Diceros bicornis minor: one gene and its partners. The protein of the gene in region 1 purifies or fractionates together with the protein of each later gene. This does not show direct contact. Links are inferred from orthologs where the notes say so. Each region holds a gene or a part of one and is shown in the gene's direction. Other genes may lie near its edges. The genes, in order: STX6, VAMP8, VTI1A and VTI1B.

Region 1 (7,834 bases):
TGAACTCAACAACAAAAAAACAAACAAGCCAATTAAAAAATGAGCATAGAACTTGAGCAGACATTTCTCCAAAGGAGATATACAAATGGCCAATAAACCCATGAAACAATGCTCAATATCACTAATGGTTAGGAAAATGCAAATCAAAACCACAATGAGATACCACTTCCCATCCATTGGGATGACTACTACAGAAAATACACACACATATACACACACACACACACACAGAGAAAATAATAAGTGTTGGCAAAGATGTGGAGAAATTGAAACCCTTGTGCACTGTTAGTAGGAATGTAAAATAGTGCGGCCAGTATGGAAAACTGTCTGATAGTTCCTCAAAAAACTAAAAATAGAATTACCATATAATCTAGCAATTCCACTTCTGGGTATATACCCAAAACAATTAAAAGCAGGGTCTCAAAGAGATATTTGTACACCCACGTTCAGAGCAGCATTATTTACAATTGCCAAAAGGTGCAAGCAACCCCAGTGTCAATCAACGGACGAATGGATAAACAAAATGTGGCAGATACATAAATGGAATATTAGTCAGCCTTAAAAGGAAGGAAATTCTGACACATGCTACAGTATGAATGAACCTTGAGGACATTATGCTAAGTGAAATAAGCCAGTTACAAAAAGACAAATACTGTATGATTCCTCTTAGATGAGGTATCTAGAGTAGTCAAATTCCTAGAGACAAAGTAGAATGGTGGTTGCCAGGGGGTGGGAAGAGCGGAGAATAGGGAGGTGTTTAATGGGTACAGAATTTCAGTTTTGCAAATGAAAGAGTTCTAGAGATTGGTTGAGCAACAATGTGAACGTACTTAACACTACTGAACCATATAGTTAAAAATGGTTAAGATGGTATATTTTATGTTATGTGTATTTTACCACAATTAAAAAATTTTAATTATTTTTAAAAAAGGATTTAGGGTGGCTTACAGTATCTCGTACATTGCAAAATGCTTTCACATTTATCACTCCAGTTGATCCTTAACACAACCTAGTGAGGGAGCAGGTTGGGCTTATCATTCCCAATGGAAAGTAGAAGAGCTCCTCTTGCAGGGCCTAATGGAACTCCGACAGCTTTTAGGGGGAGGGGGTGGCTCAAGTCTATCCTGGCATCCTTAGCAATAGGATGTGAGTTGATCCTTTCTGATCCTTATCTTCATGAGATCCATGGCCTGGTGGCCGGTGCTCTATTCTTTGAATCGGCATCTCCTATTTCAGCAAAAGATGCCTCGCAAGACCCAGCAAGCTCCCTCCATCGCTCACTCTCCTTATCTGGAGACTCGCTCAGGGCCCAGATCTTCTCCTGGATGCCCTCTCAGGACTCTACAGAAAACTCAGAGTTAGAGTGTTACCCTCCTCCAGCAAAATGAACAGAATCTAAGCGTCACAGTTTGATGCATTCTGACAAATGCATACATCTGTGAAACACACACTCCTCTCAAGATACAGAACATTCCTATCACCCCAGCAAGTTTCCCTTCCCAGGCAATACTCCCCACCCCAAGGCAACTGCTGTTTTGATTTTGCAACTCTATGAGAATTTTTTTTTTTTTTTGGTGAGGAAGATCAGCCCTGAGCTAACATCTATTGCCAATCCTCCTTTTTTTTCCCCAAAGCCCCAGTAGATTGTTGTATGTCATAGCTGCACATCCTTCTAGTTGCTGTATGTGGGACGCGGCCTCAGCATGGTTGGAGAAGTGGTGCGGCAGTGCGCGCTGGGGATCCAAACCCGGGCCACCAGTAGCGGAGCACGCACACTTAACCACTAAGCCATGGGTCCGGCCCTATGAGAATTTTTAATTCTCATTTTTGAGGGAATAAGGTGGATAGGATTAGAAGGCTTTTTACTGAGTATTCTTCCTGAGTTATTGTTTATGCCAGCACCCAGAGCCAGTTAAACTAAAAAAAAAAGAAAAGAAATAGCTTCCTTTGTTTCTCCTTGCATTTTAGCTATACTTCCCTTTTCTGGGGCAATGGAGCCAAGGTCTAGTTTGGTTTGAAAGAGGGTGAAGGAGGGTGACATATTACAGAAAGGGACACTCCCCTCTGCACACACATTTCATATCTCAACCCTCCACTATCTCCATTGTTGGTACTTTTTCCAAATCTCTAATTATGGGAATTCTCCAAGCCTCTGTCCTCCATCCTCTATGTTTCTGCTTATGAAACACTGACCTCTCATTTGTGGTTTAATTAATAAATTCATGGAATAGATAATAAGAGGCTATGCTAGGCATTGGGGTGATAATGACATTAATATAGTCTCCCCTCCCTCTAGGAGTTTACAGTTTAGTGGGGAAAACCAATATGCTAGCAGCTGATTTATATCCCCCTAAATCTAATCCTCCTCCTGTGCTTTCTTTCTTGGTTATTGGAACTAAAAAGCACCTGATTTCAACTCCAGAACCCCGCAGGCCTTCCTCCCTCTTCTTTTACCACCCCCACCCCACCCCCACACTGAACCAATCAGTCACCAAGTCCACTGATTAGGTTTCTAAAGTATTAAATGTATCCCTCCTCTCCACTCTAGTGGCTGCAAGCCTGGCTCAGGACACCCTCGTTCCTCCTCTGGACCACAACCACGCAGCTGACCTCCCAGCCACCGTGGCAGCCATCTCAAATGCCACTCTGATCCTGTCAATGCCCTCAGCTGCCATGGTCTACAGAGCACATCCACAGTTCTCAAATCATAATCAAGGGCTCTTGGTAATCTGACCCTGCCCATCTCCCCCAGCCTTAGCTCCTCCTGCCACTCTCCGGTTCCTGCTACTCCAGCAACACCCTCTGCCATGGCCCCCCACAGGCTGCCATGCTGTCTCCTGCCTGCCTCTAGTCACTGTTTAGAACCCCGCCTCCACACACAAATAAACTGGTATCTTGTCTCTGTGTTTCTCTGGCAACCCGTGCCCTTCTCTCATTGTGTGTAACTGCCTGTCTCTCCCACCAGGCCGACAGTTCCTTGAAGGCAAGGATCAAGCCTGTTCATCTCTGTGCCTCCAGTGCTTAGCACATAGTAAGAGTACCACACATGAGCCAGGCACTGTTCTAAGCACCTTTCACACATCAATTCATTTAACCCTTACGACACTCTATGCAGGAGGTGTTATTGTGGCATCCATGTCACAGTTGAGGATAGTGAGAGATCAAGCAGCTTGCCCAAGACAACAGTCAGGAAGTAGCAGAACTGGGATTTGAATACAGGCAATCTGGCTCCAAGTATGGCTCTTAACTACTATTCTCATCTGCCCCTCAACTTAGTGTGTTTGTTGAATGAATGAATGGGGATCCCTTTCACCTCCCCATCTCAATATGTCCATAACCAAATTAAACAGTTCTCTCCCAATAGCCTCCTTACCCACATCCACCCTCCACTGCTCCTCCAGGGTCTCAGAGAAGCCTGGAGTCTCTGACTTGCACCTCTCTCCTCCCCAATACCATTCAATCTCTTGTCAGGTCTAGGTGTTTTGTTTTTCCTTTGAAATATCTATTAGATTCGCTTCTTCCTCTCCATTTACAATTGCTGTCGGTCCTAGTCTGGTCTTCCTCCCTTCAGGCCAGACGACCACTGCAGCTTCCTCACTGGTTTCCCTGACTTCACTACCCAACTCCATTGGGGTCTTGGGGTTTAAGGCATTTTTATTTAACCTTCACAACAACTCACAAGCTAAATATTATTATTTACATGTTATAGATAAGGAACTGAATAACAGAACCCAGGTTCAAACAGGGTTTGCTCGGCTCCAAGGACTCTTCCATCTCCAAAGAGACTGGTGACCTTGGGCAAGTCACTTATACTCCAAGAGTCTCAGATCCCTCATTCATAAAATGGGGATAATAGTAATTACCTCATCCTGGGGGCAACTGAGATAACACTTAGCACAGTGCTTCAAACACAATAAGTGCTCAATGGTTATCAGCAATTAAAGTCCACAAACCCCACAGCACATCTAGCATAGGAGTTGGCTAATTGCTCTGACCAAAATATTTTCTGGAACAGCTCTTGAATCATAGCTGAGAGGAAGTTGCCATACCTGGCCCCTTCTCTGTCCCTCAAAGGTGCTCTCTCCTGTATGAAAAAATTACCTTAGTGGTCACTTGCAGAATACACACGAAAAGAAAACACGTCCCCATCTGGAGGAAAGCGCACAGAATCTGTGGCTTTGCCCTGTCCAGGCTGTGTGACCACAGGAAATCTTGAAACCTCTCTGAACCTTTCTCATCGACAGAATGGGAGTAGTAATACCTTCCTCCCAAGAATATTGAGATAACGCACAACTTTTAGCGCATTGCCAGACTCGTGGTAAGACCTACATAAAGAAGTTGTGCAACATTATCATAGTCAGATAAGGTATACGAGCACGCTTTATTGTAAGACGAGGACGAGATGGATTTATAAATCACATGTTATCAAAATCAAGTACTGAATATAGAAGAAAGGTAAAAGAATTGTGCAATCACGTACTGAGGCGTAGCATGAAAACACAGCAGCCCTCCTACGAGGCAACAAGCACTTCCTCGCACCAAATGCTGAGGGGCTGGTGGAGAAAAGAGCAGCCCTCCTCCACCGCCCCCAAAGCCCCGCCCCCAGGGTCGCCTGACGCGGTGGTCGGGCCCGTCGACGAGGGGCGGGGCCGACCCTGTCACGTGAGCGCGGGTGCGGAAGTGGTGCAGCGGGCCGCGTTCGTGGTTGGCCGCGGCCGAGGGACTCGGGGGCGGGGTCAGGGCGTCCGGACGCGCCGGGAAGAGCCGGGGGAGGAGGCAGCGCAGGAGTCAGGAATTCTGTCTGTGGTGCCCACCGAGCGCTGGACCAGCGACGGTCCTGTGCACCTGGCCTGCGCGCGCGCGCTGCTCCAGGTCCCCCAGGCCCAGGCGCCGGCGGCTGCGGGAGGCCAGTGGGGTGTGCGGAGGGAGGCCAGGAGGGCGCGGGCGCCCTGTGCGCGAAGCAGGCGTGAGGCGGCCGGGGGCCGGGACGCCATGTCGATGGAGGACCCCTTCTTTGTGGTGAAAGGGTGAGTGTCGCCGAGGACTCCGCTGGAGGAGGCCAGCCCGCACCTCCCGGCTCTGCTCTCTGTAGGGGGAGGAGAGACAAGTTGAGGCTGGGGAGGGGACGGCTTAGCCTTGAGGGCCATGACCAAGCGTCGAGACATCCCTCCCCGTCCAACCTGGACTGTGAAACCCGTGCCCCCAACCAAGCCCCTGGGGAGGGTGTCCCCCTTGGCCTGTGCGCTGCGGTACAACTTTGGGGGTCGAGGGGTTCGGCAGCTCTGCAGATGGGGAGGGAGACACAGGTCCCAGCCCCAACTGGGGCGGTAGTGGAGCACGGGGCCCCGCTTCGAAGGAGAGAAAACAGCATCTGGGCAGGAAAAGGGAAATGGCCCTCCTGAGCTTTGTAGTTGGCGGTGGACGGGGGTGAGCTCCCATTGTCCATTGAGTTTGGAGCGCTCGCCCGCAGGCTGGAGAGACCACAACAAGCCCGGAGGCGTCTGAGCACGTTTGCGGGCGGGGAGGGGGGGCGACGTTGATCTGGGAGTCTGGGGAGCAGGGCTCCGGAAGACAGCTCAGTTCAGTGGGGGAGTTCTTACTGAGTAATGTGAGGGGAGGAAAGCCGTCGCTCATACTCGGTGATGATGTTGGAAGGAAAACAAAATGCAATCAGCCAAACCAAACTTTCCTCAGTTTCTATTAGCCCCGGGATTTTCCCACAGTGCCGAAGGAAATGAGTGCTTTCTTTTTAACTCCTGATTTCATCCAGGCCATTTGACAGGTTTCCCCCATTTCTTCTTCTTCTGCCTCACTGACTAGAACTGCTTTAACTCATTTTTCCTTCTGAGCTGTCCTGACTCCGTCTTTGATTCCTCGGTTGTTTGGAGATAGAAACTTTAAGTGCACTTTGTTATATGAGCTTTGTAGGCATTAAACAAATGCAAGAAAGATCGTTCTGATGTTGTAACTTGTCAACTTTATGTTTTAAATGTCAAACATAAAAAAAATCTGTGAACTACCAAGTTCCTAGAAGATCAGTACTAATTATCATAAAGTGTCTGTTTGCTTTCACATAGTTGCTACTAGCTTCCTATTTCTGCAGTGGTAAAAGCTGACCGGTTGCTTGGGTATATGTGTGTTCTTTTAAGAGTTCTTCTCGGAAAATTTAAGTGGTACTTTAGGTGAAATGCTTTAGTATCCATGATACCAAAAAACATGTTTATGTACTATTTCCCAGAAAAGTTTTTTCTTCACCTTTAATTTAGATGGGAAAATGCTGAGCTGTAGATTTATTAGTAATATGTGACTCTCTATCTGGAAAATGGATTATATTAAAAGGCTTGATTTAGGGCTTAATTTTTAAATGTTAAAGCTGTGTTTTAAGCATTTTTCCCTTGAATGAAAGTTCTTAAAGCTTAGGTTGCACAAGTTATCTCTGGCAGTCGAGACAAGAAATAATCAGCACATTTTTATTTGTTTTATTTTTAATGGAATTTGTGAAAACACTCAATTGCTCTGCCATCTTGACATTTCCTTCCTGATAGTATCCAATACAGTCTACGGATGCTTGCTTGTTGATTAGATATCACTGCTTTATTGGAACATCGGCCTGGAGTCCTGGTTGACTTTTACATCACCTTAGCTGGTGTCCTTAAGTTGTCTGACGGAAAAGAGACTCTCTCAGTACCTTCTGCTGCAGAAAAGTAAAATCAGCCACGTGAGTGTCTCCAGACTGTGTGACAGCATATTTGGGGAGCCATGTACCTCCATGTATTAAAAGTACTGAAAATGAGTCACACAATGTGGAAAAATTAAAGACACCTAAATTATGGCCCTTAGCCTAGGAGTTTATAGTCTAATCTGAGAAACAACTCTTTCCAGCATTAAAAATGATAGGTGGTAAAAGATTAAGCGCTGAAGTGAATGCTACAGAAGATAAGTGCCCAGAAGTTCAGAGAAAGGCAACTCATTAGGAATTGTTATGACTGAGAAAGCTTTTGGAGGTAGTAATAGATCTTGAATGAGGTTTTGAGATGAGTGGAATTGAGATAATTGGGGCCTGTCTTATCTGGACTCTTATCAAAGAGCCTCTTAATTGTTCTTCCTGCTTCCAGTCTCTTGCCTTTTTCATCTGCCCTTGGTTCTGTTGGATCAGTGCTGTCCAATAGAAATAAAATGTGAGCCATATATGCCATTTTACATTTCCTAGTGGCCACATTAAAAAAAGAAACAGGTGAATAAATTTTAATGTCTTTAACCTAATAGAGTCAAAATATTATTTCAACATGTAATTAATATAAAGATAATTAATGAGGTTTTTTTTGTATCAAGTCTTCAAAATCTGGTGTGTATTTTATGCTTACAGCACATCTCAATTTGGATGCTAAATTTTCATCAAATACTTGATCTGTATTTAGAGTAGATTAAACTTACAGTTGAAAAAGTAGATTCACATACCCAAATTATTCCAAACATACTTAAAAGTTTTCCAATAACTGAATTGCCTATCAGTTTTTAAGTTTAAAATTAAAAATTTAGGTCCTCAGTCACACTAACCACGTTTCAAGCGTTCAGTAGTTCAAGCACGTGGCTTCCATATTGGGCAGCACAGGTGTAGCTTTTCTAGAACCCAAGCAGGGGTTCCCTACCTAACATCGTTTAGTGGTTGCCTGTTGCCTACAGAATCAAGCGCACACACTTCATGACCTGCCACCCTCCTCTATCCTGCACTCACTCTGCCCACCCTCAGCTCAGGGCCTCAGCAATGCCAGACTCAGTACAGTGATTGTGACCGTGGTACTGAATGCCCTGCTCCACATGCACCCACTCTGCC
Region 2 (7,027 bases), on another chromosome or scaffold:
GTTTTGGGAAGATAATAAGCAGCCCCAGGAGGAATGGATGGGAACAGAAAGGTCAGTTTGGAGGTGGATGGAATTGTCCAGAGAAGAGATCCTGCTGGCATTACCTAGGAAGCAGGAGCTGGTGTAGAAAGGAGGGGGTGAATATGAGTGACATGACGAAGATGGAATCAAGACTTAGTGATGTCCCATTGCGTGTGTAAGATGACTGTTGGAGGTGTCTATGGACTGTGCAGGGCATCGGAAAGGAAGCAATGGCAATTGAAAGAGAGGTCAGGGTTGGAGGTAACAGATTGGGGGATTGTCCGTAAAAAGGTGTTACAACACATAAAGTAAAAAGGTGTTACAAACATAAAGGCGTTGCACTTCCCTATGGAGACAGAGTGTCTCAACCTCGGCACTATTGAAATTTTGGTCTATACAATTCTCTGTTGTGGAGAGGGCTGTCCTTTGCATTGTAGGAAGTTTAGCATCCTTGGCATCTACCCACTAGATGCCAGTAGTACACTCCGCTAGTTGTGACAACCAAAAATGTCTCCAGACGTTGTCAAATGTTCCCTTGAGGGCAAAATCAACCCGGTAGAGAACAGTTGCTCTAGGAGAGAGTATGGAGTCAGCAGAGAAGATGGCCAAGGGCAGAACCTTTGTGTTCTAAGAACACAGTCAGAAAGGAAGAGAACGCATTGGGAGAGATGTGGGGTGACTGTGTCACAGATGGGGTGGCCAGTTGTGTGACAGTCTACAAAGAGGGATTTGGAGATAAAAGAGGCCTTGGCAGTGGTGAGAGCGTTATGATTCTTCAGGAAGCAATTCCAGTTGAGCCTCCTGACTGTGCCTTTTCCTTGTTCTATAGCCTTTTCCCTGAGAGGTACAGGAGTAAACTGCCCACTTGGGCCATAAATAAGAAGACTGGGATATATACCACTGTACCCCAAAGTTTGCCTGGTTGCTTTGCAGGCTGTTAATTTTCTTCTTCCCTTATTTTCTCATTCCATTTTCTCTATTAGTCTCCTTTTTCATCTGTAAAGTGATTTAGCAGAAATATAGAAATATACACCTATATCATTTAATCCTAATAATAACCTTGCAAAGCATCTTTCATTCTTTTTTTTTTTGGTGAGGAAGATCGGCTCTGAGCTAACATCTGTGCCCGTCTTCCTCTATTTTGTATGTGGGACGCCACCACAGCGTGGCCTGATGAGTGGTGCATCGGTCCATGTCTGAGATTCGAACCTGCAAACCCCAGGCCGCCAAAGTGGAGTGCACAACCTTAACCACTAAGCCACCAGCCCCTTTCATTCTTTTTTTTTTTTTTTTTTTGTGAGGAAGATCAGCCCTGAGCTAACATCTGCCAATCCTCCTCTTTTTTGCTGAGGAAGACTGACCCTGAGCTAATATCTGTGCCCATCTTCCTCCACTTTACATAGGACACTGCCACAGCATGGCTTAGACAAGCAGTGCGTCGGTGCGCGCCCGGGATCCGAACCCCGGGCTGCCGCAGCAGAGCATGTGCACTTAACCGCTATGCCACCGGGCCAGCCCCTGCTCCTCTTTCATTCTTATTCCCATTTTGCAGATGGGGAAACTGAAGCTCCCAGAGGGAAGTGGCTTGCCCAAGACCACACAGCCAGGGAGTAATAGAGCTGATAAGCAGATCTTCTGATCACACAGGGACTGAGAACACTCTCCATCACGCTATGGTGGCTTCTTTGGCTGCAACTCCTACCACCTAGCATCTTTTCGTTACAACTACTGACACTCCATTTCTCCTGAGATAGAGCCTTCATTGACTGTAGAGGAATCAATGACTTTCATTTCTCTTCTTGTACTCTGCCCACAGGACTGTTTCTGCTCATAGCAGAAATGTTGTTCGGTGTCTCACTGAATGTCTTACCTTGTGAGGGTGTTAGCAAGATGGTCTTCTGACAAAGGGTAACATTATAATGTTTGCGCAGGTGAGGCCAAGCCTGCAGGGATTCTGCATGGTGAAGATGAAGGTGAAGAAGTTGCAGGCCCAACTGTGGGCACTTGGGAATCTCCCTGATGGTTGCTGGGTCTAGGCCAAGGGTCAGCTCCCTCAGGGACACCAATGTATGTCCAAGGCTGGCAGTTGCATGTCAGACCATAGTAACTCCTCAACCAGATTCCCACCCTGGGGTTCCTCTTCCATTTCTTCCTGTTCCCCTCAGTCCTCCTACTCTGGTCCTTTGTTCTTGGTACCTCTCATGTTCCCCTATCCACCACCTTACTTAGCATCTGGAATTCTTAATAATAGTAATCACAACAGCCACCATTTACTGAGGGAGTTTTAAGTGTCAGGCACAGACAGGGAGGTAACTGAGGCTTAGAGTGTTACGTAAGTCCATCCAAGGTCACAGAAATATTAAGGCAGATCAGCGTGTCTAAAGAAGTATAGAAATATAATTTGAGGGGCTGGCGAGGTGGCATAGTGGTTAAGTTGGCATGCTCCGCTTCAGTGGCCCAGGGTTCACAGGTTCGAGTCCTGGGTGCAGACCGACGCACCACTCATCAAGCTGTGCTGTGGCGGCGTCTCACATACGAAAAGAGCAAAATAGGCGTGGATGTTAGCTCAGGGCCAGTCTTCCTCACCAAAAAAAAAAAAAAAAAAGAAAAGAAATATAATTTGAGTCACATTTGTAATTTAAATTTTTCTACTACCCAAATTAAAAGAGAAAAGAAACAGGTGAAATTAATTTTATCAACTTTTTAAATTTAACCCAATATATCCAAAACATTATTTCAACAAGTCATGTAAAATTATGAATGGGATATTTACATTCTTTTTTACATAATAAATCTTTGAAATCCGGTTGTGTATTTTACTCTTATGTCACATCTCAATTCAGACTAGCCACATTTCAAGTGCTCAACAGCCACATGTGGTCAGTGGCTGCTGTATTGGACGGTGCAAGGATAGATCAAGGATTCAGACCTACCTCCACTTGGCCATGTTGTAGCCTTTCTAAGGATGGTGAGGATTGGGGCAGCCACATTCTCTGTGAAAGCAGGCTGGTACTGTCCACCAAAATTCAGGTCTGCAAAATATAATCATCTAATTTTATTAGACCTTTTAAAAAATGTCTAATTTGTGAGGGAAGCTGACATCTCCCCCTTGGAACTGGGATGGGACAGGAATGTTTGTTCCCTTCTGCACGTCTCTGTTACTGTTCTTCTGTCTTGATAAACACCATCCAGGAAGAGTGGATTTTCTCTGGCCTGGAGCCCGGTTGGTGGAAAAATCCTTTGCCCTGGGCCTCCTCTCTGGTTTATAGGGCAGTCCTCTGACCATTTCTGACTGGGCTCACCAACTCCCATGGTGGCCCCTGAAGGGAAATGCAGGATTGTTGAATTCTGGAAGGAAAGGAGCCATTATTTCCCAATTTGCACAGTGGACAGTCCTTCGGTCCAGGCACTGTGCTAGGCACATTACATGTGCTACCCTTTTACTGCTCACCACCACCCTCTGAGGTCAGCATCAGCACCTGCAAAACCCCAGAGAGGTGAAGAGATTCACTGGGGTCACGCAGCTAGTAACCCAGAGCTATCTGATGCCAGAGCCCAGGATCACAGCATTCCATTTGGGGGTTTTAGTGCTTTCTGTCCACCCATGGACATGGGAACAAGGGTTGTCCAGCAAAAAATGTTCATATCTGCATTCTGTTTCCATGTGAACTAGGCCTGGCAGGGTGCTTATGATTGATTTCCGTCTCTAAGAATTGGACTCAGATATTCAGGACATAAAAAAAGGAGATGGCTGCCCTTTCTATATCAGGAGGCCCAGCCTCAGGAAACCTAGGAGGGCTGCTTGATTTCTCTTGTTCCTGACGAGTTAAAAGACCTTTGTTGCCGGGGAGCCCTGTTGCTTTAAGCCTAAGCCCTGGTTTGGGAGGAGACTAGAAGGGCAGTGGAGGGTGTCCGCCTACCTAGGGGAACCTGTGTGAGGTGTGGCTGGAGCAGGCTCAGGATGAGAGGTGGACGGGGGCGGGCTGAAAGTTGGAGCAAGCAGGAAGTGAACCAAGGGCCGCCCCAGGAGGAAACAGACTAGGCAAGTTCTGCCGCTGACGGGCCCCAGCTGCTCGGAGACATGGTGAGTGAGCTGGGAACTAGAAAGGGGCTGATTTAAAGATGAGCCAGAGGGGGCTGGGGGCTGGGGATCGGGAAAGGAGAGTTGGTGGCAATGTCAGAGGGTTGGGCCAGCACTGACTGTGGCCTCTCTTCTTAGACAGCTTGGCTGCAAATAGCTCTGAGCTGCACGGGCGGGTGTTCCTCCTCCTTCTATACTCCCTCCCCTGACCTCAGTGCTGGCCTGGAGCAGTGCTTCGGTGGGTGGGCGTGGGGGATCCGAATTCCAGGCAGAGAGTTGCTGAGCAAGCGGCCCTTCCTTCATCTTCTCCTCCAGCCTGCCGGCCGACCGGCCTGCTGTTGTGACACTCCTGGGCAGCGCCTCTGCTGTTCCCAGTGCAGATTCCAGCCCAGCGGCGGGAGCTCTTCCCCTCTGCCTTTCACTTTATCCCTGTACAGAAACTCCCAAAATTTGTCTCTCCACAAGTCCAAGGAATTGGCTCCCCCCCATAAACATGAGGAAGAGAGCTAAGGGTTTGTAAAAGAACCAGAAATTGGTTCTTTGCGATAATCTAATTTGGCCCACACCCCTGGCCTGTTTCTGGAGGTCCTGTGGGTCAGAGAGGGAGGAGCTTGATAACGTTTTGCCTCCTTCTTTAAAAACCTTATCATGAAGCCTGAGGATGAGGCCTCAGCCAGGGAAGACTTGCCCTGTATTTCCCCCAGTGCCCAGGCTGCTGCTTTTATTTAATATCTGCTTCAGCAGCAGTGGCGTGGTGCCTGCGCATGGTGCTAGGTGGTGGGGAAAGCAGAAGTTTGTGGCCCAACGGCTCTCTCTCTTGGGGCCTTGTGAGGGACTTGGAGCCTAGTCGCTGTTGGCCTGGGTCACAGCAATTAGGCTGCCCAGGAGGCCCGAGGCAGAGCTGCTCTCCAGCTGCTTTCTTGGAAAGAGGGAGAGTTGGGCTAGGTGAGGGAATTCTGCTGGCCCCACAGACATTTTTAATAAGGAACCTGTGGGATCTGGGAATTGGTAAATGGTGGCGGGGTTTTGCATCGTGAGATGCCAGCTCAGCTGTCTGCTCTGACCCTCTCCGAGGAGCAAAGAAGCAGTGGAGAGGGTCTCAGTGGTGTGCTTCTTTTCCTTGTCAGGGACCCTGAGAACCCAAAAAGAAGTTTGAGCTAGTCTGTCTAGCAACAGCTCTCATCCTCTGGGGCTTAAAAATGCATTTATTTTTGATTACATGAGTGAGACGTGAAAACATTCTCTTTGTAAACAGTTCAAGCTTTACAGAACACTAAAGTCCATGTTAAGTCTTCCCCTCCTCTAGCCTCTGAGGCTATCAGTTCCTCCACCACTTGGCCCAATTAACCCCTGTGTTGCTGCCCAGGAGGAAGGCAGTGGAGGCGATGGAAATGATCATGTGCGGAACCTGCGGAGTGAGGTGGAGGGAGTCAAGAATATTATGACCCAGAATGTGGAGCGGATCCTGGCCCGAGGAGAAAACTTGGACCATCTCCGCCACAAGACAGAAGATCTGGAAGCCACAGTGAGATGGGGAGCTCACTGGGGGCTAGAAAAAGAGAGTGCGGGAGGGTCGTTGGGGGTTTAGGGATTGGTGGTGTTGGGGGCAAAATGAGCAGGAGGGAAGTCTGCCTTTTCACCTGTTTTGGGAATTGAAGTGAGCTGAGTCCCCACTTCTGATTCTACTCTACTCCACTGATTGGCACTGGGGTCCAGGGAATGTGTACAATGACTGTGGTTGGGGGGTAGGGCCTGACCCCTGGAGGTATTTTCTGAGACAGATGGCTCAGTCAGCCCGTGCATTCTTGGGCTTCTCTCCTGTGAAACCGATTTTCCCTTTGAAGGCTGCCCTTGACAACCATTTGGACCTGACCTCCCAGGGCAAAAATATTGGCTTTGGTGGGGCTGGCCCGGTGGCATAGTAGTTAAGTTTGTGCACTCTGCTTCAGCAGCCTGGGGTTCACAGGTTCAGATCCTGGGTGCGGACCTACACACTGCTCATCACGCCATGCTGTGGTGGCATCCCACATACAAAATAGAGGCAGAGGGGGCCGGCCCCATGGCTCAGTGGTTAAGCGCGTGTGCTCCGCTACTGGCTGTCTGGGTTTGGATCCCGGGCGCACACCGATGCACCACTTCTCCGGCCATGCTGAGGCCGCGTCCCACATACAGCAACTAGAAGGATGTGCAGCTATGACATACCACTATCTACTGGGGCTTTGGGGAGAAAAAGGGAAAAAAAGGAGGAGGATTGGCAATAGATGTTAGCCCAGAGCTGGTCTTCCTCAGCAAAAAGAGGAGGATTGGCATGGATGTTAGCTCAGGGCTGATCTTCCTCACGAATAAATAAATAAATAAAAACCAAAATAGAGGCAGATTGGCACAGGTGTTAACTCTGTGACAATCTTCCTCAAGCAAAAAGAGGAAGATTGGCAACAGATGTTAGCCTAGGGCCACTCTTCCTCACCAAAAAAAAATATGTATTGGCTCTGGAAAATCATCCTAGGGCCTTTGGCTTGCTCCAGAAGTTGTTAGGTAGGCTAGGGGTGGAAAGGTGTTAGAGTCTTGCTGAGCCGGCTGGAGAAAGCGCTGGAAATCACAAAGGCTAGGTGAAAGCCTTTGATCCGGGGCCCACTGCTAGGTGAAGGCTAGAATATGCCCCACACATCTTGCTAGATCTCAGTTTTCTCTCTCTCCAGCCAGCGGCTCAGGAAGGGAGTAACTCTAAAGTTCAACAAAAGCTCGAGCCTAAGGTTCCAGGTTCACGGCAAGAGTCTAGCTATGGCTTTCTGGGTCCTGTGTAATCTTGGATAGAGCTCCTTTTTCTCCCTGGGACTTAGTATTTCTTCCCACAACCTAACCTGGGAAGCATGGCCCAGGGAAACTTAATTTCTGCCACTCCAGTTGGGAGAGGAAGAGCAGTTT
Region 3 (8,044 bases), on another chromosome or scaffold:
TAGCTCTGAAATGCAGTGACTGAAGTGGAGTACAACAGAGACTCAACAAAATCACTTATAAATCTCCACTGGGGTTGATGGGGCCTAGCAGACGCTTGTAACTTCCTTCCTGTTCTCATCCTTTAGATGTGGAATCTGTGAGCTAAGCAAGCTAACTCCAGAATAGAAGATGTGGTACAATAAGCAAAGTCTTAAGGGTTCCCCTAAACCTCAACATTTTCAACATAAATTTCTTATTAATCAGTGGATATAGCTGTTCATTAAAAAAGGTTCTAGCTTGGAGCCGAACCGGTGGCGTAGTGGTTAAGTTTGTGCACTCTGCTTCGGCGGCCTGGGGTTCGCATGTTTGGATCCCGTGTGTGGACCTACCCACTGCTTATAAAGCCATGCTGTGGCAGGCATCCCACATATAAAATAGAGGAAGATGGGCAGAGATGTTGGCTCAGGGTCAATCTTCCTCAGCAAAAAGAGGAGGAATGGCAACAGATGTTACCTCAGGGCCAATCTTCCTCACCAAAAAAAAAAAAAGGTTCTAGTTTATTTCACATTTTTTATAGTGATTCAGTTTTCTTCCCATTAAGTTTTTTACATTAAACACTTGTGATAATAGGCACCTGGATTCATTTATTAGATTTGTATAAAGTGTAGGTGTCAGTCAACTAAATAACAGAAAAAGCAGGTCTGTTTTATAATTTAGACTCAGAACAACTCTAAAGCTAGTCAAGATGACAGTTGACAAGCACAATTAATTCTGATCTATAGAAACAACTTGAAGGTATAACTTTTTAACTTGTTCTTGGCAGGGCAAGAAGCAAAGTAAATCTGTATTTTTCTAGAAGAATCTTTTCACTTATAACAAAAAAGAGTGAGATTTATTTATTATCAGAATTGATAATTGAAGAGTAAAATGGAGATTATGGACACAAGTATTCTGACAATATTTTTTATAAACTAGCCACCTTGCAGAGAATAAAACTAGGATTGATGTGGTAGAAGGAACAACATCAAAAGACCAGTAATCAAGTGGATCAGTCGCCAATGAATAGCAAAGACAGACAGTACCTGTTACACTTCCTGCAGTGATGTGACCGTGGTGCCTTGTACGCTTGGCAGACTTTACAATACTGGAGGTACATGCTATCTTGAGAATTTTCCTTGGCAGCAAAATATAAACAAAAATACATCAGATATCTGACCCTAAGTAATAATAAGTCAAACCTTAGGAATAAATACTTTCCTATGGTTTGATTTTCTTTTATGGGGATGGGGAGGATGGAACCTTAACTTGTATCTGCAGCTGTTTTATTTGAGCTAAAATATTTTTAAATAATGAATTTCTGGTAACAGCAGCATCACTTTTCCAATTACCCAGAAGTCATTTTTAATTTCTCTTCTCCATGCTCCATCCAAATCCAGTGTCACTGAGTATACATACTTGGTTCTACTAAGATCCAAAATCTCAGTAGAATGGGAGGAGTTCAGAAAAAAAGGTAGCTGACAACTTGGCAGGTATTTTAGAGTGGGACTCAAACACCAGAGTTGATACTCTTTTGGAAATCAGGCCCCTCCCTTGGACCACTTTAACTACTTCCTAACTAGTTTCCTTTACTGTAGCCTCTCTAATCCAAAGCGTCTATTGTCAGAATAACATTCCTATAACACAACTCTGATTGCGTCAGAGCTGTGCTTGAAAACCTCTAATAACTCCCTATGGTCTAATTTCTCATGTATTTGAGGCCTTCCATAATCCGCCTTTGTTTCAGCCTTATCTTTACTATATAATCTCTTTTCCAGCCAAACTAGGCTGTCCATTGTTTCTGAATCCATGCTACCACCATTCTCTCAACCTGAAATGCCCTCTTCCCCATCTCCTGTGGATAATTTCCGCTCCTCCCTCAGGTCTCCAGCTGAAAACGATCAGTTCTTCTAAATTCAACAGCATCCATCACATTCTACTCGATAGTTATCTGCACAAGTGCCTTGGTTTGTCTTCTCACTTATAAGGTTCTTCAGAACATGAACTGCATTTTACCCACCTCTGTACCCACTTCAAATAGCACACTAGTGTTCCTCCAACTGTAATGTACCTAACAATCACCTGGTGATTTTTTTAAACACAGATTCTGATTCAGTAGTTCTGGAGTGGAGCCCAAGATTCTGCATTTCTGACAAACTACCAGGTGATATCCCTCAGCAAAGAATATGAAAATTCATATGCATAAACTTTCTAACAATTTTTAAAAAGCCATAAATTGATTGATACTATCAATCGAGTGATAGTATACTTCCCAATATTATGATTTCACCACAATGATTTAAAAACTTTATGACTTAAACCAGCAGTTTCTAAAGTGTTTTTCTCAGTTTTGAGGGATGTTAATGTATTACATGAAAAAAGATCCTGGAGTTAAACCACACTGTGATATTATGAAAAGTGTATGATATGCAGTGTTTCCTAGAAACTTAAGAACATGGACTCACCACCCTCCCTCCTTTTGTTTTTTTTTTTTTTGTGAGGAGGACCGGCCCTGAGCTAACATCCAATGCCAATCCTCCTCTTTTTTTTTTTTTTTTGCTAAGGAAGACTGGCCCTGGGCTAACATCCATGCCTATCTTCCTCTACTTTATATGGGATGCCGCCACAGCATGGCTTAAAAAGCGGTGTGTTGGTGCGCACCCAGGATTCGAACCGGCGAACCCTGGGCCACCGCAGTAGAGCGCGCACACTTAACTGCTTGCGCCACCAGGCTGGCTCCCTCTTTTTTTTTTTTTAAATGCAGAAGTATTCAATGAAATTACTTGGGGAAACCCTAATTTAGATCAATATCTTCAAACTGGTATGAAATAAATTCTTTGAGCTTTAAATAATGTGATTAGAATAATATGCTTAGTCTCTACCAAGGCAAAGAGCAGGCTGTGTTTGATATTATTGGTTAGCAGATAAGGCAAAAACTAAATATATGATTATCATTAGAGTTCATCACATTAAGGAATCTTTTTCTTACCGGTTTCCACCCCAGAGGGACAAAGCCAGGGCCAACAAACATGGCATTGAAGTAATTATAAAGAATCATGACAGTCCAATTTATCAACATGATGAAATTCACGCTTCCTCCAGTTGTATGTAAGGGCCAATACCACAACACAGAGTCAATCATGGCCATCGTAGAACATATTGCTATAACACTAAGGGCTATGATGGGTCCCCAGTGACACAGTCTCTTTAATTCTTGGAGATTTTCAAACTTCACAACTGAGCAGAATGTACCCATTTTGGTGAGGAAGAACGCCTTCCTATTTTTAAAGAATTATAGATTTCCTTTTTCTGTGCACACATTTCCATGTGCCACAAGTCCATGTGTGTTCTTTAACTGTCATGCCTTCAAGTTGTGAAACGGCAATGCAGATTATGCCATTTGTACTGTTACACACTCAGAGCTCTTTATCTTAAAGAGGAGAATCCAGTATCTTGGTTTGAAACCCAATCTAAAGAAAACAAAATAAGAAAGTTTAGTAAAACCTTTTATTATATACTATATTTATCAACTCCAATAATCACCTACACTAAAGCATCTTACAAATGCACTACTACGGGATGAGTATCTTAAATGTCAAAAAGAATGTTTTTCAGGCTGGCCCAGTGGCCCAGCGGTTATGTGCGAGTGCTCCCCTGCTGCAGCCGGGTTCGGATCCCAGGCAAGCACTGACCCACGGATGGTCAAGCCATGCTGTGGCGGGGTCCCATATAAAGTAGAGGAAGATGGGCACAGATGTTAGCCCAGGGCCAGTCTTCCTCAGCAAAAAGAAGAGGCTTGGCAACAGATATTAGCTCAGGGCTAATCTTCCTCATAAGAAAAAAAGAACGTTTTCATCTTATCCAAAATAGGGTTCAAGTCTGAATGGCATGTAAACTGGATACATGATTCTAAAATATACTTTTTATTCCTTTGTTCCCAACTTGTCAGAGGACTGTGACTACCCAACGTTTAATGAATGGTTTGAGGAGACAAAGTTTTAGAGCTGGGAAGGAGGCCTTAGAGTTCATCTAATCCAGCTTCCTTCTTCATGGAAAAGAAATTGGCCGGGAGGAGCTAAGTGATTAGACCAAGGTCACTAGCAACAGCAGACCTCAGAATAGAAACCAAGTCATCGAGCTCCCTTTACAGAGTTCTAAACTGCCTCTTACCTATCTCGAATTAAGTCAAGTACGATCCAGACATGGTCTATACCATTTGCCTGCGCTTGCCTCCAAAACACCATCATAAGGGTCTATTTGGGCCAAGGGTACAGAAGCGGGAGAGTGAAAGCAAAGACAGTGCGAGGAGAGGAGGGAGGGAGAGAGGTGTGTGTGAAATCACGACTGCAGGCGTATACGAGAACGACCACGAATGAGAACATTGGAGAAAAAAAGAAGAGGAAGTGCCTCTCGGAGCGAACGCCGGCAAAACCTGTAGAAGGGTCTTCCTAACTAGACTGGGGTGAGTCAGAGAACAAGGTCTGAGGTAGAGGATAATAAAAACGTCCTAGCAACAGATGCCCACTGCCTTGTGCCTCAGTTTCCCGCTCGTGCCGTGGAGCAGAGCGCTCGGATCCTCACTCAGGAGAACATGTGGGTGTTGGTCTCAACATCTGGAGAGTCTGGCCTCACTCGGGTCGGCCGAAGACCGCCAAAATCATGGTCACATCCCCCGCCTCGACTCCCACCTCAGACTGGTCATTGGTGCCCGCGCCTCTGCCACCGCATTTCCGGCGGCCTGGGCTCACCCAGAACAGGTTTTCTCTTCCTCGGATAACTCCGTCATGGGTACCCCAGTCCAGCGCAAGCAGAGAGCAAATCCTGGTTGCGAGAGGCTGGAGCGCGGGCCGCCCACGACCGGTCGGTCTCCGCCAGCGCCCTCGCCGCTGCTCTCCCGCGCAGGCCCGGTGCGCAATCTCCGTGACAGCCACTTCCGGGAAGTTCTCCACATCAAACGTCCCGCGGGAAGCAAGCTCTTGTGACTTGTATCTTGAGGAGCCGGAGCCGCTTTCCAGAACTTAAAGGAGCAAAAAATTGTTTCCAGTGATCCCTGAGAACACGCATATTTTCGGAGGCCTTTTGGGGCCCTAATCGAAGTGCTTTTTCTTAACGAATTTCTTAATCGTGAAGCCTGAGCGGAAATTAAAAAGCGCACGGCAGCCCGATTTCCAGAGGACCGAGATTGTGACGAACAACCAGGAAGCGGCCGGGCCGGGAGCTGTCGCCGGTTCTGCGTTCTGCTCTCGAGGGTGCCCCCCGGGGTCCCTCCACGGTGTTCTCCTGTCCCGCCTGGCCCCTGCCACGACCTAGGCTCCGGCCCGGGCCGATCACTCCGGAGCCACCATGTCGTCTGACTTCGAAGGCTACGAGCAGGACTTCGCGGTGCTAACTGCCGAGATCACCGGCAAGATTGCGAGGGTCCCCCGACTCCCTCCTGGTGAGCCCTGGCCCTGCCGGGGGTGTGGGGGTGGCCCGGAGAGAGCGGAGGCTCGGGGGCGGTGGAACGCCGCCTGAACAAGTGTCTCTGAGGCGCGAGGCGGGAGTGGAGCCCGGGGGCGGTGCTGGAGCCCTTCCGGAGGGATGGAGCTTACTTAGTTGAGGCCAAAGGGAGAGTCCTTTGGGGTGCAGTGAGTGAAAAGAGTCTTCGGAATCTGAGCCATCTGGGCTCGAATCCGGACTCCAGCGCCTTGTTACCTGTATAACCTTGGGAACGTTTCTCTAAGTCTCAGTTTTCGTTTGTAAAATATACAGATGTGAGTATTCAAAGAGAATGAATGAACGTACCTAGACCATGAGTCTGCAGTATACAGCAATGTTGTTTTATTAGTAATAATATTATTTTATGCGGCAAAATAGGGTTAAGAGCCACGGTGTCTGGATTCAAATCCCAGCTCTGCCACTTAGGAGTTATGGCGCTTAGGCAAGTTTCTTAACCTCTTTCAACTTTCCTTCTTGGTAAAATGGGGAGAATTGTACGTCTCTCATAGGGTTGTTGTGAAGATTAAATGATTTAACACATGGAAAACCCTTTCTTGGTGTTAGCTGCTGTTATCATTAGTATTTTTCATACCCTCAACCCCATTTATTATTTCTCATCCTTCTTGGCAATCTGTAGGCCAATTTTATGTAAAACTTGGTACAGTTTTTCTCACTTTTAAAATTCCACAACTGCCATCTAGAAGTGCTTTTATTTTTGTATTTTAGCACGGCTTACGTCCCATGCTAGACTGCCAACTATGTGAAGGTAGGATTGACTTAACTCTTGGCATTTACTTAGAGCCCAGAAAAATGTTTAAGTAAATAAACAGATGAATATAAATATGATATTTTGTGATTTTTGTTTGTAAGACATCGTTTGAGGATTTATCTTTCTCTAAATACAGATTTAATTTAAGTAGTTAGTTGCAGATAAGATTGTTACTTTTTGGCTTAGTTTTGTTAGGGAAATTGGAACATCATGGGACTGCTAGACTTGGCCTTACCTGCCTCTAGAGTGTAACATGTAGAAAAGAGGATGCTCATTGATCTGTGAACTGGTGGGCAACTTCTTTCCCACCTTGTTGGTCAGTCCTTGATGCCAGCAATAATTTCTCCTGAACCAGGTTGTCATTCCTCTTTGCCTTTCCCTACTTCCCTCAAAACTTATGTGTTTATAAATAATTGTCTTCCTTTATTTCTTTGTTTTTCTTTCCCCCCCCCACGTATTTTCTATTAATAGGGATATTTGCTTGAAGCCAGGATCTCTGAACTTACACCCCACTCATCTCCTGAAGTCCCAGTTAGTTCTGGAGGAGGTGGATCTTGTCTTAAGGAGGTTTATGAGTCCAAGTGAGGGAACAAGAGGAGAGGACGAAGGTAGCATATACCACCGAGCTCTGCTGCCTCAGAGATTTTTGTGGAGAAAGTGGCTGATGGCCTCATCACTTCATGATACATCACCTCGCCTCTTCTCTTCAGTTCTGCTTCTCTCCACTGCCCAAGATCATCTTGATTTTTGTTGTCATTGTTGTTGGAGACTACTTCCTTTGACTTGAGTCCCAGAGCCTCAGAATATCAGGACTTAATGGTTTCAGTTGGATTTTTGCTCAATTTTAATTGTAATAGTGTTAACAGTGAAACATTTTTTGTTTGGGCTAATAGCTTTTGTAGTCTGAGGGTGTTTTATAAAGTAACAGAGTCATCCCTGGGTGCAAAGTTGTAAAAACTATTTCCAAGAAAACAAATTTTGTTACAATTGCTTTTTCCTTGCCTTTATATTTTAATGTAACCATTCTTACCACGTAGAAGGAAACCTTTGAATTAAGTACCTTAAAAATAAAGTCTTGACTCTTCTTAAGTACATATAATGTAAGGCCCAAACATAGCAGCTACATTAGAGTTGAAAGGAGACTGTATAGCTGGCACTGGAAAAATGCTTACTGTCTTGACATAGTAATTCTTAAACATGCAGTGGTTTCTCTCTTAATAATTACTTGTGCTTGTTCCCTTTTAATCTGTTTCTAATTGATAAATATAAAAAGGTGAAAAATATATCCATGTAGTTATGAATTTCAGTTGTATGTTATGTGGACTAACGAATTAATGTGTACAACCATGGCAAAAACAGTCTGATTAAAAGTAATTATAATCTCTCTCTCTGGACATCATTAGTGGTTGACCCAGTGGAGGTAACTGTAATTTTATTGAGTTAAGAAGGTTAAAAATTGGAGCGAACTTTTAAGTCATAGCAGTTCACTGCACAACTTATTAACTTATTTAAATTGAAGTAGGGGGGGTAGGATTGATTGCAATTCACTTCAATCTCTGCTGTGCGTGTACAATGTATTAGATTGTTACTTCCAAAGAGAGTAGAAAAGATTGAATATTTTAAAACTTTATTTTAAAAAAGAAATTTGATTACTCTGTGATATGTTTAAACAATAAAAAGACTCTGCTCTTAGACTAAAGTGTTTGAATCTTAATTAATTTTGGTAATTGGACTAATGAGATGGATCAGTCCCTTCTTAGGCAATACTCTTATGACACTGT
Region 4 (6,899 bases), on another chromosome or scaffold:
AGGTAGACCAGAAATAAGTAGCTTTTTTTTTTTTTTTTTACCACTCCAAGCATCTGTGACCAATGTAAATAGCAAGATCTCAGCCACATGACACTATACAAGGTCCTCTAGAATGGACCCCAGAGACCTATTTGAACAAGATGGTCAAGCACAGGTGTCAGGCTGGCACTGATATTATAGTTAAATATATACATACAAAGGAGAATATAAAGACTAAATGATATGCATTATATATCAAACAAAGCATTGTGATCAGAGGTGGTCTAGTGAGATCTAAAATGGTAATTACATTTTCTCTGGAGTAAAGATTGGAGAATGAAGAGAGAGGACAAACACTGGCCCTGTGAAGCGCCTAAAGGTCATGTCATCCCTGGGTCCTTTTTCTGTCTTATTCCTTATCCCAGGCAGAGAGCAGACTTCTCAACCCTGTGCTTTAAGCCTCTCTCTTTCCCTTCCAGTGAGTGCCATGTGGCATGGGTCTCTGCCAAGGCTCGTAATGAGACAATAGCAAGGCGGCTATGGGACGTCAGCTGTGACCTGCTGGGCATCACTAGGGATTGACAGGTGGTGGCAGTTGGACGCAAGAGCAGCGTGCAGCAGACTACTCAGTACTCCCTGCCAGAATGTTTCTCCTTCAGGATGGCCAAAACCTTGAGCACAAAGAGAGAAAACCTTCCAGCCTTTCCTGCTTGATGTCTGATGAAAGTCCAGGGTACACTGCCAGATTCTTCTAAACACCTTGCATTTGTCCAGGTTTACTTTGCTACTGTTACTACCAGAGTTACTAAAGATATCATAGGGTAAGTACACCCTCATATGACCTGAAAGCTCATATTCTCCTTCTGAAATCTACTACCTAGGAGAACTTAAGCTATGGCAGGGCTGCTTTATGGCAAATTGAACTAGTTTCTACCCTCCCTATTCACAATGAAGTTCTTCCCAACCAACCAACCTTCACTTCAAGAGAGCCACACTGCAGCCTCAGCTGAACTCCAGGAGTCACAGTGGCTTGGCCCAAGAGCAGGGCTTGTCCCTCACCTCTTAAGAAAACCATCATGATGCCAACATCTAGATTCTTTCAGGAAACTCTTAACTGAATCTGGATTGTGACATGGTTTTATCTCTGTCCACCTAGAACCAGTGCTGTTAAGACACTTTCCCATGCCTAGACCACAGAAGAGCTACCTTTTCTAAGAAGTTTGTGGGGTTTTGGGGGAAGGCAGAAATAAAAATCTATTTAAATTGTCATTTTCCTGCTGTTCCTCAGGCCAGCAAGGGGGTAATGAAAGGAGCAGTATGGGAAGCTGGGCCACCTACTTCAGTTACTGACCCCAGACCCGTGGAGGCCTCCTCCTTCATGCTTTAGCTTCTCTTAGAAAACCAGAAGAAAGGAAAGGCTATCTGGTGATTGTCACTGCGTATATCTTTCTGTATTTATGCAGTTGGGAGTATTTTCACAAAATTCAAAACAGCCACCAGGGAACAGTATTAAACTGGACCCTAGTGCAGGTACATGATAGCGATGGAGCAAACCAGTGTCATCTAGACTTGGATACAAATGGATAGAGCTGCAAAGGGAAGCAGACTCTGTGCATGCTGGTAACTAACCCACCAAGAAGCACATGGGTAGCAGGGAAGAAGTTCAAGAAAGAGAAGAATCCTGGAAGATAATGCATGCATTGAAGGGCTTAGTTAAGGATTAAAAAGAGAAACCCCAGCTACAGATGGTAATATCCAGCTATAGAAGAACTGAGGATGAGCACTTGAGTTAGTAAGACTGACAAGGTACTATCTTAACACGCACCAGTCAGCCAATGTGGCAGAGAATAACCCCAAACAAACAAAAATAAAACAAAAAAACCCAATTCTTTAGTCAGTAAAATTATCTTAAGGACTGATATTGGTAATTACAGTCAATTTACTAATCTTTCAGGGCATTTCATTATCTTAATAAGATTAAAATGTCTATTTTCTAAAAGTCTACATCATATTTGGAGAACTTTTATCAAAAGTAATGCTGTCAAAGGATGTCTGAGGAATTGGTAATGTGCCCATCACTTGTTGGGAGTATGGTTTTCTAATACAAGTTTGTGATTTTGTTGGACTGACAATTATATGTTCACTTTGGTGGGGAAAAGAGTTATAGGATCACAGTCTTTGTGTATTTGTAAATTAATAATCTTTTGTTGAACTTGTTTTGACCATTAAATTATATATTTAGAAATGGTTATTTTATGGAAAAATTTGATAATAGTGCAGTAGAATAACTGAATTAATATTTTACCTGATTTATATAGAACTGTCAATGATAAATAAACATTTTTTGATTATCATGTTTTTATTTACCAGAATAAAAACTGTAAGAATTAAACATAAGCTTAATTAGAGTCAACAGAAGAAAACAATTAATTATAGTCAAAAGAAGAAAACATTTTTCATTATTACAGTTACGCAGTCATTTCTCATTCTGAGGATAATTTGTCCCAGAGTCCAGCCAGAGTATAGTCTCAATTCAAATACCATTAATTTTGGTTGTGTGATTTGATTACTCATTCACCCATTTTCTACTTATCTTGTAAGGTCACTTTTTCCATCCCAGGCTATTTATTCTCTCTCCGTTTTGTACCTGCCCCTTCTATAACACAATGCTATGGGACATATCACAATACACTGCCACTAACAACCTCAGACTCTGCTGTCTCTCTATGCTCAATAAATATTAGGAGCTCAACAAAAGTTTGTTGAATCAATAGTCAATGAACTCAGTCTAATAAAAATAAGGATGCAGGAGATATAAATCACAAAATCATTTCCCCCTGAGCAGTCATGTGTCTTTTAATATGTGTGGGCAGTTTTAAGTATTCCGTTGCCAAGCAAACATTTCTGAACCGGTTCCATAGGCAAAGCATGAGGAATTTCCTGCCACTTGAACCATGAAAACGTGGAGTGCAGGTAAGGACTTTGTAACTGTTAACACTACAACTTGCGGAAAGAGACCTGACGAAGGGGTCCGCCTTGCTCACCACATTATATTATATATTATTCTTCACTAACACATGCCCAGACCCCTGCACAATGACTACGCTGAACATTAACAAACACCTGCTGCGTGAACAAATGCACCAGGCGAGCCCGGCCGCTAGAGGCTGAGGGCGTATTTTGGGGGTCACACTGCCCGGCGACCACTTCTGAAAGCATGTGACCCTGGTCACTTGACCTCCCCAGTAAAAGTGCTTCACCGCTCGAGGGCAGGCGGGAACCCGGCCCGGCTATCTTTCCAGGGCTGAAAGCTAACATTAGTCAGGACGTGAACCGAGGAAGTCAGGGTGGCCAAACAGTGCGCCGACGAGGAAGATAACGTCCAGAAGCACACTGATACCAAACCGCTGTGCGTCAGCGTCATCCCCGGCGGGCGCTGCGCGGCCAGAGCCACCGCCCCGGGCAACCAGTGACCTCCGAGTCGGAGCGTCTTCCGCTACGAACTACAGCCCCCGGCATGCACTGCAGCGTTCCCTCCCCCTCGCCAGAAGGCGGGGCCCTGAAGAGAGGCGGCCGCGCTGCCCGTCCCGCTGGTCCCCACAGTCCTTCCCGCTGCGGCGCTCTCCCCAACCCCGGACTGGGTATTTCCGGGGCCCCGGGGCTGTCGCTCCCGCCGGCGCGCCGCTGCCCCCTCAGGACTCGCCTGGGCAGCGCAGCATGCCGGACTTTCCGTCAGGCTTTCGCGCCCGGCGCTCCCACAGTGACGGCATGAAGGGAGTGGGCGTTCCGACGCGGGAGGACCCCGCCGCGGCCCCGGAAGCTCCTCGTTCAGGGCGGCCGTGGCGGCGGTCGCCGTGATGCCTGCGGCGCTGGGCGGCTGACCGCGAGGTAGCAGCGGGCTCCGTGCCCAGAATCTCGGCGGCCGCTGCTAGAACGCGGCCTGCGCCATGGCCACCTCCGCCACCTCCTCGGAGCATTTCGAGAAACTGCACGAGATCTTCCGCGGCCTCCATGAAGACCTACGAGGGGTGCCGGTGCGGCTCCTGGGCACTGCCGGGACAGGTGAGGCGGGGGCGGGCCCAGCCGTGGGGAACTCGGCTCCGCGCGCCCTTGTAGCAAGAGTCCCAGACCCCGGCCCTTTTCTCTGCTCTTCGTCCTCAGACACGCCCCCTAGGGCTGGCTGGGTCCTGGCGCCCAGGATCTCCCTGCAGCCACTTAGGGTGCTCAGGTGTGGACGCCGGAGTGTCATCTCCTTGGGACTCTCCCTCTTAATCCTCCTATAGCTTTCAAAATTTTCTCGTCTCATTTGCACTGTGGCAAGAAGAGCATAGGAAACCTTACATCTGCGGTTCTCTGTTTCAGTAGAATTGTGTTTTTTTTTTTAGCTCTCTGTATTTTGTCTTATGCACTTAAAAGCATTATTCTCAAGAGAGGTCCGTAGTTTTCACCAGACTGGCAAAGGATCCGTAGCACCAAAAGGGTTAAGAACCCAGAGGAGTCATAACTTTGGGGGTTGGTAAATATCAATTTTGGGGGTTGGTCTTAAAAATCAGGATTGTGGCGTCTAGCTATGGTCCTCTTATGAATTTTCTGTTTAGACTATTTCCTGCCCCTTTTCAAAATTGATTTCAAAATACAGGTTGCTGCAAGCTTTGCCTGGAGAAGCTAGAGTTTTGCAGTGAAATCCACAGGAAGACCTGCCACAGTTATTTGCCTCGGAAAAACAGATCTTGATGTCAAGGCAGATAAGATTTTGTTTTATTGTTTTTACTTAAGGATCAGAGCTTGAGTGTTTGTTCTGTGAGTTACCCAAGATCAGATGAATTAAATGATTCCAGTGAGAATGAAATTCATACGTTTGTTTAACATATTTACTGGGAGAGGCTGCTGTGTGCCAGACACTGTTCTGGATGCTGATAATATTTCAGATTACAGTGAAAAGATTTACAAATCCCCGTTCTAATGAGTCAATGATAATATATAAATATTAAGAGGCAGTGTTGAGGGCAATACAAGAAAATAAAGCAGGGCAAAGGAATAGAGAGTTGGGAGTGGGGAGCTCTAATTTTAAATAGGGTGGTTGTGAAAGGCCTCTTTGAGGTGGCGGCATTTGAGCAGGGACTTGAATGAGGGGAGTAAACCATGCAAAACTCTGGGAGAAGTGAGTGTCAGGAGGACAGAATAGCACTGCAAAAGTCCTTACGCAGAAATGAGCTTGGTATGTCCTAGGAAGAACAAGAAGGCCCTTGTGTTTGGAGTGGACTGAGCAGGTAGTGGTAGTAGATGAGGCTGGAGAGAGGTTCGCAGGGCCAGATCGTGTGGGGCCTTGTAGACCAAGGTGAAAGATTTATATCTTTTTCTAAATGCAATGGGATGCAATTAAAGGATATTGAGCAGGAGAGTGATGAGATCTGATTTACAAGGTGGAAAAAGAGACAGTTTTTTCAGCCTGGTGCTGAATTAAATTTTGCACTGTCCATTTCTATAAGGCTAAATAATGCAAAAGGGCATTCCATTTTGAAAAATAGAAAACTGAATTAGTTATATTCACCTTCATCATCTACTTAACCTTCTCATTCGTACAAAGAGGATGATCAAAAAGGTGTGAATTCCTACCCAAGTACAAAATACTCTAACACAAGTTGCTGGTAACAGACTTAGTTGTTTAATGGGTAAGTAAATGTAAAACACACATATTCCCAGGTTATAATAAGAATTTCAGCAACTTTCAATTTCCCTATTCATACTGCTCAATAAATATTTGTTGAATAAATTGAATTTTATTAAGTAAACACACTGGGCCTCATCTCTGAATCCTTTTTTTTTCCTAGTTCTGAGACTACTCCATAAGCTTTCCAGAGATTTAATTTCCATCGTGAATTATTAGGCACTGAATAATGTACATAATACAGCCCTTGCATTTAGGTTATGTGCTTTAATTTAATTCAGTCATTTTTCAATAAATATTTATTGAGAATTGTTACATGTCACTCACTGTTCTGGGCCCTGAGGAGTTCCAAGAGTTCTTGCCTTCAATGGGAGCAAATTTACAAGAAAGTGTGTGATGAGCCCTAAAATAATTTTGAGACCATTAAAAAAAGGTTAACTTGGGCGTGGGGGAGCAAAAAGAAAGGGGAAGAAAGGGAAGCTTCACAGAAAGGAGAACCTTGAACTGAGTGTGAGGCATTGGATGGGAGTTGGCCAGACAGAGGGGAAATGGAACGAGGCAACAAAGGAATAGAAATTGAATGCTCACAGCTGTGACTGGAGCTTAGGCTATGTGTGGGAGAGTAGTAGATGAGGAAAGTAAGACACAGCCAGATTGTGAAGGTACCTAAGTGTAACATTGAGACATTTGGACTTGATATGGAGAATTAGTAAAGGATTTTAAGAAGCTGACTAATATGGTCAGAGTTTATTTTAGAAGGAGAATGTTGGTGGCTGAGTAGAGGATGCAAGAGAAGCACAAGAATCTGGATACAGGGGACCATGTTAGGAGCCTTTGAGGGAGTCATCTAGATAACATGGGAATCTAGAGAATCCTAAATCCAAGAGGTGAGTCTGAGGCAGAAATTAACCAGACTGATTGGACATGGAGAAGGAGGGAGAAAGATTCAAGGGTGTCTGTATTTTCTCCCTTGGTCAATTGACGAACATAAGAAATATAAGAGTAGAAGCAGGCTTGTTTGGGTTGTGGATGAGAACTTCAAGGGTCCTTATAGAATTGAGAGCATAATGTATGTCAGTTCTAGCCTGACAAGATATTTCTTCTTCTGCCATTAAAAACAACATTTACGAAGACGATATCATGTGAATTGAGAGGCAGTATAGTGTAATATTTACCAGCAAGTATTCTAGAGCTAGACTCCCTGGATTCAAATCCTAGATTCACCTCTTTAGTAGCTGTGTGACCTTGGACA

Evidence for each region.
Region 2: the proteins of STX6 (region 1) and VAMP8 purify together in Homo sapiens (affinity purification with mass spectrometry; 3 studies listed by BioGRID and IntAct, counting the BioPlex papers as one, with this or other methods). This does not show direct contact. The link is inferred for Diceros bicornis minor from reciprocal best matches to the Homo sapiens genes STX6 and VAMP8.
Region 3: the proteins of STX6 (region 1) and VTI1A purify together in Homo sapiens (affinity purification with mass spectrometry; 3 studies listed by BioGRID and IntAct, counting the BioPlex papers as one, with this or other methods). This does not show direct contact. The link is inferred for Diceros bicornis minor from reciprocal best matches to the Homo sapiens genes STX6 and VTI1A.
Region 4: the proteins of STX6 (region 1) and VTI1B purify together in Homo sapiens (affinity purification with mass spectrometry; 3 studies listed by BioGRID and IntAct, counting the BioPlex papers as one, with this or other methods). This does not show direct contact. The link is inferred for Diceros bicornis minor from reciprocal best matches to the Homo sapiens genes STX6 and VTI1B.

Annotation. Positions count from the first base shown.
Region 1 is NC_080743.1:86,161,584-86,169,417, forward strand, and holds the start of STX6 (syntaxin-6), read left to right. Parts: upstream 1-4,767; 5' UTR 4,768-4,992; coding exon 4,993-5,027; intron 5,028-7,834. UniProt on the Homo sapiens protein: SNARE promoting movement of transport vesicles to target membranes. Targets endosomes to the trans-Golgi network, and may therefore function in retrograde trafficking.
Region 2 is NC_080751.1:4,416,347-4,423,373, reverse strand, and holds the start of VAMP8 (vesicle-associated membrane protein 8), read left to right. Parts: upstream 1-4,002; 5' UTR 4,003-4,102; coding exon 4,103-4,105; intron 4,106-5,468; coding exon 5,469-5,627; intron 5,628-7,027. UniProt on the Homo sapiens protein: SNAREs, soluble N-ethylmaleimide-sensitive factor-attachment protein receptors, are essential proteins for fusion of cellular membranes.
Region 3 is NC_080745.1:76,031,923-76,039,966, forward strand, and holds the start of VTI1A (vesicle transport through interaction with t-SNAREs homolog 1A), read left to right. Parts: upstream 1-4,985; 5' UTR 4,986-5,359; coding exon 5,360-5,453; intron 5,454-8,044. Other genes in the region: palmitoyltransferase ZDHHC6, read right to left, coding at 1,063-1,154, 3,006-3,272. UniProt on the Homo sapiens protein: V-SNARE that mediates vesicle transport pathways through interactions with t-SNAREs on the target membrane. These interactions are proposed to mediate aspects of the specificity of vesicle trafficking and to promote fusion of the lipid bilayers.
Region 4 is NC_080763.1:16,317,896-16,324,794, reverse strand, and holds the start of VTI1B (vesicle transport through interaction with t-SNAREs homolog 1B), read left to right. Parts: upstream 1-3,810; 5' UTR 3,811-3,926; coding exon 3,927-4,041; intron 4,042-6,899. Other genes in the region: RDH11 (retinol dehydrogenase 11), read left to right, coding at 459-561. UniProt on the Homo sapiens protein: V-SNARE that mediates vesicle transport pathways through interactions with t-SNAREs on the target membrane. These interactions are proposed to mediate aspects of the specificity of vesicle trafficking and to promote fusion of the lipid bilayers.